2 linked regions of the Drosophila melanogaster genome follow. The protein of the gene in region 1 interacts with the protein of each later gene in a pairwise test. Each region holds a gene or a part of one and is shown in the gene's direction. Other genes may lie near its edges.

What was found.
Region 2: the proteins of gukh (region 1) and dlg1 interact in a two-hybrid assay, tested with the Drosophila melanogaster proteins (4 studies listed by BioGRID).

The regions. Positions count from the first base shown.
Region 1 is NT_033777.3:18,982,019-18,987,091, forward strand, and holds the start of gukh (GUK-holder), read left to right. Parts: upstream 1-2,006; 5' UTR 2,007-2,487; coding exon 2,488-3,097; intron 3,098-5,073. Other genes in the region: dnk (deoxyribonucleoside kinase), read left to right, coding at 1-232, 290-439; snRNP-U1-C (small ribonucleoprotein particle U1 subunit C), read right to left, coding at 1,085-1,522.
Region 2 is NC_004354.4:11,374,185-11,379,061, forward strand, and holds the start of dlg1 (discs large 1), read left to right. Parts: upstream 1-1,578; 5' UTR 1,579-1,624; coding exon 1,625-2,534; intron 2,535-2,657; coding exon 2,658-2,789; intron 2,790-4,877. UniProt on the Drosophila melanogaster protein: During embryonic development, some isoforms are essential for proper neuronal differentiation and organization. Required for cell polarity; maintenance of apicobasal polarity.

The DNA.
Region 1 (5,073 bases):
GGAGCAGGGCATGTACAATACGCTGGAGGAGTGGTACAAGTTCATCGAAGAGTCCATTCACGTGCAGGCGGACCTCATCATATATCTGCGCACCTCGCCGGAGGTGGCGTACGAACGCATCCGGCAGCGGGCTCGTTCTGAGGAGAGCTGCGTGCCGCTTAAGTACCTTCAGGAGCTGCATGAGTTGCACGAGGACTGGTTGATACACCAGAGACGACCGCAGTCGTGCAAGGTAGTTTCTACACAAGCTCACATCTACCGAAGCCGCTAAATATGCATTTTTCCTCAGGTCCTAGTCCTCGATGCCGATCTGAACCTGGAAAACATTGGCACCGAGTACCAGCGCTCGGAGAGCAGCATATTCGACGCCATCTCAAGTAACCAACAGCCCTCGCCGGTTCTGGTGTCGCCCAGCAAGCGCCAGAGGGTCGCCAGATAACCATTATCCCATTAGTACCTAATTGTGTGTAGTACAGACGTTTAAAATAATATTATAAGAGGCCTAGACGAGCCGATTCGCGGGACAAAGGCAGAAACTTACACTTCGAGCCAATGATTAACACATTCGTATATTAACAATTATAATCCACATTATATTCTCTTCACAGCAACTAGTATGTAAGCTCAAAATATTGTAATAAAAACTGTGAATGTTTATGTTAAAGGCAAGGCACCTACTATTTTTGTGTTAGCATTTCAGTTCACTTGCATTTTAACTATATTGTGTTGGACAATGAAATCATTAAATGCCTTCTCTAGCATTGATTTTTGTTATCTTTTTCTGAAGCGGGGTTTTTTAAAGTCATAATAATGTGTGCACCGTAAAAGCGGCGTGATCTTATGCCTGCTGAACTCTAATGTGACTGCATGCGCTTCTCATTACTGACCTAAATATATATACTTTATTTCTCTATTGACTTCCACCCACAAAGACAACCATTTGTTGAGTCAACTTGCTTTATATAAATGTATATAATTAATTGTTTTCGCTATCGGGCTTACTTAAATGCTACAGCTTAATTAGGACATCGCAAGGAGAGCACTCCATCTGTGCTGTGAACGTTGATGCCGTTCCTGAGGGCGTTCACTTGGGTCCGTTCATGATTCCTGGACGGACGCCGGGTATAGTGCCCAGTGGAGGCGGTGGTCCCATCATGGCCATGGGATTCATAATCGGTGGCGGACGCATGCCCATCATGGGGTTCATCAGTGGAGGCATATAGGGCATTCCAGGCATTCCCGGACGCGGAGGAGCCCCCATGTTGGGCGGCGGAATGGACACGCCCGCCGGCTTGGGAGGCGCTCCTCCTGGCCCGCCGGCAAACGGATTGTTCGTGATCTTGCCCGCTTTGAAGGCGGCGGTAGTGGCGTCAATCAAATGCTGCGCCTGTTCCTCCATCCACTTTTGGTAGTAGAACTTTACATTGTCGCGATGCTTGCGGCCGGTGCAGTGGGTTTTCCGCACCGAGGGCGAGTCGTGGGTCAAGTAGGTGTCGCAGTAGTCGCAATAGTACTTTGGCATTGCACTAATTTATTTATCTTAGCTAAGGAAATTCGGTTCACTGTAGTTTTATTTATTATTTTTCGCAGTCGTATGACCGTATTTCGACAAGGGTGATAAGCTACTGAGACATGCTGCTGTCTGGCAACTCTGCCGCTGTGTATATCGATATGTTTAACAGCAACATTCAGCTTGAAACTCATGGAGATATTTGATTTGGGTTTGTCAGCTTGCATTTTATATTTATTTATATATTCAAACAGATACAACATAAAAATAAATATAAATCATGCATTATATATTAATGTTTTGTGTTGAATGCCCACTGTGCACTGTTAAGTGTTACAGCAGGTAACACACTGTTAGTGTGTGCAGTGTGTCCTGACTAAGCTAAGCAGAGTTTTGAACCCTAGTCGGTGACATACTCAAGCAGCTTGGACGAACGGTCACACGGGCAGATGATTTATCTGCGACTTCACTGCCCTTGCCATGTATTGGGCACACTGGCAGTTATTTTGAAACCGGCGAAATACGAAGACGTCAGCGCGGACGGTCGGTTTTTGTAATTTTGCCGGCTAACACACCTTTCGAACGACGCGTAACGGTGGCCGGGCCATTAAAATCGCCACAACCACGGGCAATTCGAGTGCGGCGCGCTAATTATGCAAGGCTGAGAACTAGCCACAAAAATTTGGGGGGCAGCAATAAACCAGTTGATTTAAACTAGTTTGTGAGTGCGTGTGAAAAGGCCAAGGAATTTGGCCGAAAGTAGTAGACAATAGCTAGGAGGCTGCGACTGCGGAGGATTCAAGTCCAGAAGTTGTCCGACCAGTTTTCGGTGCCCGTGTGCTCGTGTGTGTGTGTGTGTGTCGGGATTACTTGGATTACCTTTTATTTTATGTTGGCCGGTGCCTTCGAAGCGGAGCGAATGAGTTGGAGCAGCTAGTGGCCGCCAGAGAGATCAAGAGTGCGAGAGCCAGCGAGAGATGCCCTTCGTCCAGCGCGTGGTGCAGCCCGTCAATGTGGCCCAGGCCACGGCGGCCAGTTTGGGCCACGCATCCGGACGATTCCACTGCACGCCGGGCAAGTGCCGGAACAACAACTGCATTAACAAGCAGTCGCCGGATGTAGAGGTCCCCAATGGCCACGGATCACCCACATCCCTTACCAGGGTTCTGGTTCACCAGGCGCCGGAGGATCAACCCGTACCGCCCGCTCCGGCGCCCATGAAGAAGCTAAAGCACCACGTCGAGTTCCTGTCCACCTCGCCCACTCGCCATCAGTCGCAATCCCTGCCCAATTCGCGGCATCCCAGCCAGCAGAGGCCGGCGCTTGGAAGGATCGCCAGTGCACCGCAGTCGCCCACTGCCGGCTCCTCCAAGGTGGTCTCCGGCCACGAGTTCGACTCGATCAGCAACATAACGCTGAGCAACGCCCTGCGGCAGCTGGCCAGCTTGGTCCTCATAGCCAGCGATATCTTCGACGACCTGCAGCGGGATCTGCAGGCGGTGGGCGAGCGGGCGGGTCGTGTGCAGCGGAAGATTGCCGCCGTGGAGCGACGCGTCTGTGCCTACGATCCGAAAACGGTCACAGTTCGTAAGTAGACCCATTCATCTTATGCCCTATTCAATTCTAGCTAGGATCTACATAAGTGGGAGCTCCCCCAATGTGTGTGTGTGTATTCCTCACACGATTCGCGCTCAAAGTCAAGTGCGTTATCACGGACAGCTTATCGCCCGTCATCTGCCGCTTTGTATGCGTGGAGTAGCTTCTGTGTGGGTGGCTGTGTTTGGCGGAGAACGTGCTCCAATCTTATCTGCTTTCGCAACACGCGGGGAATTCAATTTGCAAAGGCGCAAAAGGGAGGAGAAGCAAAAATAAGTCAGTGGGGGAATTGGGGAGCAGGTCTCGCTATACCCTATAGCAAAGTTTTTTCACTGGGGCTAATTAGAAACAGACGCATATTAACATATTAGATTAATATTTTAATATTTTCTAAAACAATTGATTTTATTGTTTCCTTTTCTGTTTTTGAAAAAGTTAAAATTAATAAACATATTTATTGTGTTCTAAGAATTTAAATGATATTTACTAGCGCTGGACTTACTATTTAATTTGATTGCAAGCAATACTAAAATATAATCATAATATATACACATGTATATTAAACTCCTCCTGAAATCGCCATACCCTGGGAATACCCTTTTTCTGAGCATCTCGGTGAAAAGAAACCGAGGGAATACCGAACCAGTGGAAATTAACACCTTGTTTACTTTGTCGCCTCCGCTGTTTGGGGCTCCACTCCGATCGCCCGATTGCCCCTTTGCCCATCCTGCCATTATTCCATCATGCAGAGTGTGAGTGGGTGGGTGGGACTGGGTGGGGCTGGGTGGCCTGTGTTCATGCAATTAGCTTCTTGCCCGCGTCCAGCAGAGGCTTCTACAATTACCAACGAGCTACGAGCACTTAGATAAGCGGTCTAAAGTCGTTTGGCTCATTGTTTTCGCGACCTTGTGTTAAATACCTTCCCAACACGAATGGCCATTTATGTGGCAAGTGCTGCAGTTGTTGTTGCTGTTGTTCTAGTTGCAACAGCAACAGGTTATCCGCAGTGGCTGTCAAACTTCGTGATATGCCCAAATCCGAATATATTTTCTCGTCTATCCGCATTTTAGCACTTTGCTTCGCTCGGCACTTTATCGCCTTTACATTTTTGTTTTCTGCTTGCAATCCGAATTTTGTTTTTCGCTTGAAAAACGTTCAATAACTTTATGAAATCTCAACGGCAGACTGGCGACGACGCTGACTGCAGCTTTTTCACTCCGACTTGATATTGTTTTGTTGCCATTATTATTGTGCACTTGGCTGCAGACTTGGGCTGTGCGCGGAGCTCGACGTGGCGTACGATCCCATTGTCAGCTGTCATTTTGCAAGAGCTCACTTTGTTTACGCCAGCCCCTCTGCCGCTGGCTTTTGGCTCCTTGTCAGCTGCCCGAGGAGAGCAAAAACCCAGAAAAAATAACACGAAAACAGCAGCTGCTGCTCTTTGGGCTACTGCATGCGCAATCGAAAACGTCGCACTAATTGCTCAGGTATGAAGCCCAGGAAAAACAAGAGCACCACACTCGGTCTTCTACATATGCGCGTACAGCTGAGGGCACAAAAATAGCAATAATAATAGTTTTAGGCTCATTAAGTACTGCGAATCTCCACAAAAATTGGAAACATAATCCACAATGTATGTGGATTTTTATATGACCTTAAAAATTTTGTATTATGATAATGGCACTAATATAGTTATCAATATTCTTAAAGTATAGTTTAATAATAAATACATATGTATATATTCTGTAGTTAGGCGTCTCTTTCCCTTTGTCTATTGTTGTTAAATACAATTGCTCTTTGAGTATTTCGCAAACAACATTTTAAAAATAAATTATCAAGGATAGACACTTTTCTTCTTAGACTTGTGTTCAATTATTTTATTTTACATGTCATGGTTATCTAAAAATATGCGCCCAGGTGATAGATAGCCTTCAAAACGGGCGAGCACATAAAATTGCTTCTAATAC
Region 2 (4,877 bases), on another chromosome or scaffold:
GTATCTAACAAAACAATATTTGTACATAAAACACCATCGAATAGTATATATATATATATACATATATATCAGATATATATACAGATGTGCTGGCGAAACTAAAAGGAGGAGAACTCAAGGAAAAGCCAAAGCGATTTTTCCGCACATTTCCACTCGAAAGCGACTCCAGTAAATTCTCAAAATTGCGACCCACGCTTTTCCCAGTTCGGCGGCGTTGAACCACAATCAAAGCTGCTGCACCACCGCCATTTCCGCTGCCATTTCCACCAGCACCACCATAAATAGTAGCAGAAACACCGCTCACAGAATGCCAGTGAAAAAGCAAGGTAAGCGAAAAATTGCACTTTTATTCACTGCCCACCTTTCCCACCTTTCCCTCCTTCTTCTTCTTTTTTTATTTTCTGTTCTACATATCTGTCTTTGGCATTACGTGGAAATCCATTCAATTGAATGGACCTTATGAATGGTGGACAGTGAAAACTGTTTGCCAGTTTTCAGCAATTGAAAAAGTAGTTTAAAACTTAACACAATGGTTTAAGATCACATTTTACATAATTCTATGCATAACAAATTTAGAAAAATAACCTTAACTATTGTGAAATAAAGTTAGAACCTATTAAAAAAGCTATGTCTATGCAAAACTGCATTGATTTGCTGGTGAAAGTTTTAAGCACCATATAGTATATAGAAAGTTGGCATTAGTTTTTCAATTGTAATTTTAGTAGATCATTTAACTTTTACGTGCTGCGCAAAGTTAGCCAGCAAAGCTGCTTCCAATTACACACGAGATGGCACTTTTGGCCAAACAAACAATGTATCCAACTGTGCATTGGAAGCTATGCAACAAAAAAAAAAAAAAAAAATACATAAAAAACCAGCTAAATTAATGCAGACAAAGAATTTTATTTGATTATGTCACATACAAATCATATTTGGGCAACTCAAATGGCCAACAGAAGAGATGAAATGAAATGGTGCGGAAGGGGGAAGGGGGAGGGGGAAAGAGAGGAGCCGCAGCAGACGGAAAATGGGAAAACCGGGGAAAAGCGCTGCCAGCAGCCTCGCAAATGGTCAGTGAAGGTCAACGTCGGCGTTTGACGCGTGCTGAGGACATCAAACTGCGGCCACAGATACAATGTTCATTTAGATACGAGTATGTATAGTTTGGTTTGTGTGCTCTGTATGTGTGTGTGTGTGCGTGTGTTTTGGGACCATAATGCGACTCGATTATAATAATAAATTATGTGTTTAATTTTTTGGCAAACGCGGCACGAATGACAAGCCAGCGACGGTATGGCACTTGACCCCTGACCTCTTCGCATGGGGACATCAAACTATGCGCAGCAACACACAACTTCGTTGCTATTCAGATTTTCAAGTTAAAGCATTTAGGATGGGGAATTTTAGGCACACACCCTTCATGGAAACAAAAAAACAAAAAAAAAAAAGCGTTAATAACTGGCGTCCGACAAGCGGTGAAAAATGTTTAAAAAGCGTCAATCTTTATTGATTTATCGGCGGTAGCAGCCACCAAACTATAGAACCATAATAGAGCTCAAAAGTCTAGCCAGTTGAGTGCGGCACTTGGGCGCGAAGAGAGGTGTCTTCTTGGCTGGTCCTGGTAATGGATTCGGATACGGACTCGGAGCGGGAGAAGAGCAGCGATCCCAACGAGGGACTGCTCAGTAGCGATGACAAGACATTCCACGACGATGATGAACCGGCGGAGGATTCCTCTCCGGCGGACGATGAGGAGGAGCCCGAGGAGGAGGAGTGCCTGCTGCCGCAGAAGAAGGCACAGATTCGCTGCGACCAAGACCAGCCACCTTTGGTGGTCTTGGTACAGCCGTCGGCGGAAGCCATAGAAGTGCGCCAAGAAATCGATGATACCAATCCGGTGGCAGTAGCTGCCAAAGCTAGCGATATGGATGGGGATTCGCAACTGGAGGTGATGGAACACCAAATGGAGACCGTAACCGAACCGGATCCCGAGCCTCCGAAGTGTCCAACATCCCTGCGCGATAGTGTCCGCGAGTCCGTTGAATGCTTCTATTCCGCCCAGGATCTTCTCGAGTACGGACACATGCTGTCCTCCACTTCGATGGTCCGAACACCGGATGTGGAGTCTGGCTACTTTGAGAAGTCCGAGAGCGATGCTTCGCGCGACGAGTGGGAGGGTCCGTCGTCGTCATCCTCGGGCGCAGCCCGTTGTCGCCTTCTCTCCGGCATTTCCGGACTCTCCGTCTCTTCGTCGAGTCGCCACAGTGCCGAGGGTTTGCGCATGGAACTGAGCCGATTTCGCACCATGATCGAGACTCTCGAGCGGGAAAGTCTCGAGAAATCGCAATCGGAGCTGCAGTTGAAGGCCAAGAGCAAGGCGAAGCCAAAGCCCAAGCAGAGATCCCACGTACAGGATGCGGCTGGGGAAAGTGGTTCGGAACAGGGTTCCGAGAGGGGCTTCTGGTCAACGATCTTCGGCCAGGCGGGTCTGGCGATCAGTCAGGATGAGGAGGAGCGCATTGCGGACATACAGAGTAGGCACTAATCCAGTGGGGAAAAATGGGCAGGCAGAATCCCTTGGTCTTTTGGGTTGATTTCATAATAAAACAATCGAAGATCATTTGTACTAACCATATTCTTTTCTCTATATATTTCAGAAGCTCATCGGGCTCTCGAGCTGCTCGAGGACTACCACGCGAGACTTTCGGAGCCGCAGGATCGGGCGCTGCGTATTGCAATCGAACGCGTTATACGCATATTTAAATCTCGCTTGTTTCAAGCGCTGTTAGGTGAGTAATCGATAATGTATCGATTAAATCGATGAAAATATCCTATATGTATATCTTAGACGCTATTCGCGTCGCTCGTAAGTTTTTGCCTTTAAAAATATCTAAATAATTGCCGCTAGATAAGTGCATTTTTGTGAAATACTTTATTATATAGGTCAGTGTGCTAAATAAGTTTTTCACAAGTTCGTTATAAGCAAGAGCCTTAACCAAGCTCATCATCATCGTCTATTGATTCTGAAACTTTAAACGCAAACAAAGTTGCGAACTTTGTGCCAAGATTGTTAGAAAGTAGTTGATGAGCCGGAAAGAAAGATCCTTGAAAAGTAGTTCTTATCTGTGCAGTTGTCTATCGTCCATTGCCTATCGCCTATCGATTTTCTTGTCCCTCCCCTCGCGTTGCAAATTATTTTCACTTGACAAGCAAGCAGTGAGCACAAAGTAGCAACAAAGGGAATTGCAGCAACAGCGACAGCAAAACGATAATATTGCATAGGATTTGGGTCAAATAGACCAAGCAGCGCAGCGCAATGGAAACAGCAAGCGTCCCATAGTAATGCGGCTAATTCAGCTTGTTTTTTTTTTCTTTACCGACTCTGGTTACTCAAAAGGGTCGATAGACGGCCTGATTAGTGCTCCAGTTGCATCATGGAGTGCATTTTGGTGGCATATGGCGAAGGAGCCATTGATTTTCACTAGCAACTTGTTGGTTTCCCTCATATTACCTATAGTCTCAAGCTTAAGATGAACCTAATTATCACTATAACTAAATACTTTCCTATTAAGAAAAGTTAATTTCCCTGCCATTGTTGCCTTATCATTGTATATTTAAGCAGTTTTTTAAGCCGTTCCCATTTATTGAGACATTTTTGCCCAAGATTTGACAGCTTGTTTTTCTCATTTGACAGTTTTGTCTGGATTAGCTCTTAGCTACTTTTGGATTTTTGGCAGCACTGTTTGCAGTACACTTTTTTTTTTGCTCGCCCATCTTTTCTTTTTTTCAGCAACGTATCCGCCTCTCATCTCTCTCTGTCCATATGTCCATCCATTTCGAGACGGGCGGTTGGTTTGCAGTTGTCTGTTTTGTGGGTCTTGCCTGTTGTATAATTTGCAAAAGTTCTGCTCTACCGCCGTGCTCCATCTCATTCTAGTCCCCTATGGCTCTCTCCCGCTCGCTCCGCGTCTCGCTCTGTGACCCCGTCCCTTTCTATTGGACCCCTGGGTGCAAATTGTGTTGCCCGCTGTCAGTGGCAGTTGCATAATCCTTTTCGTTTCGTTTCGCTTGGGTCCTCTCCCCCTACCTCTTTCCATTCTTCCCATTGTTTTGGTTCTTCTTGTCCCTATTCCTCTTGTTCGGCGTATCCCGCTGGTGCTTCCTCTTCTCCCGTTATCGTTACAGTTTCAGTGGCTGCGCTTGGCGTGTCAGAAATGTTAAACGGCTAACAAGCACACACAAACTCAAATGCAAACAAGCCAAACACGTGACACGTTAGAAAACAGGAGCTTTTGTATGGCCAAACACAAGGGTGGACCTTAACTTAAAAACTCGCAGGGTCGCACTTCGACAGAACATGATCAGTCACGTCGCTCTGCTAGTTTAGAAGGAAAGCTAAACTAAATTGAAGAAGAGAGTTTTTAAACACGATGCCAGTACTTGATTTTTCTTATGATAGATATGGGTCACATGTATTACGATAAAAAGAGTTCACAGCCTTGAAATCAACCCACAGTTAAGGTCCACCCAAGGGAATTTGAGGTGGTGTATGCATGTGTGTGCGTGTGAAATAATTAACAAGGTATTAGCCGCATCCCAAACACCCGAAACGTATGTGTGTGTGTGTGTGTTTTGGGTATAGTATCAAACTTGAGGTTAGATTCCAGTCTCTTTCCGTCTCTTTCCCGCTTTTGTTGAACATATTTGCATTGAATCTGTTATGCTGTAATAACACTGAAAACATTTCAACTGCGTTTGAAAGCACTACTACTGTGCAACCGAATAACACTGCGTATGAGTAATATCGTTGGAAAAACTATGTTTGGGCATCAGAGTTTGATTTTTTTTTGCCATAGTTTTTGGCTTGGTTCTCAGTG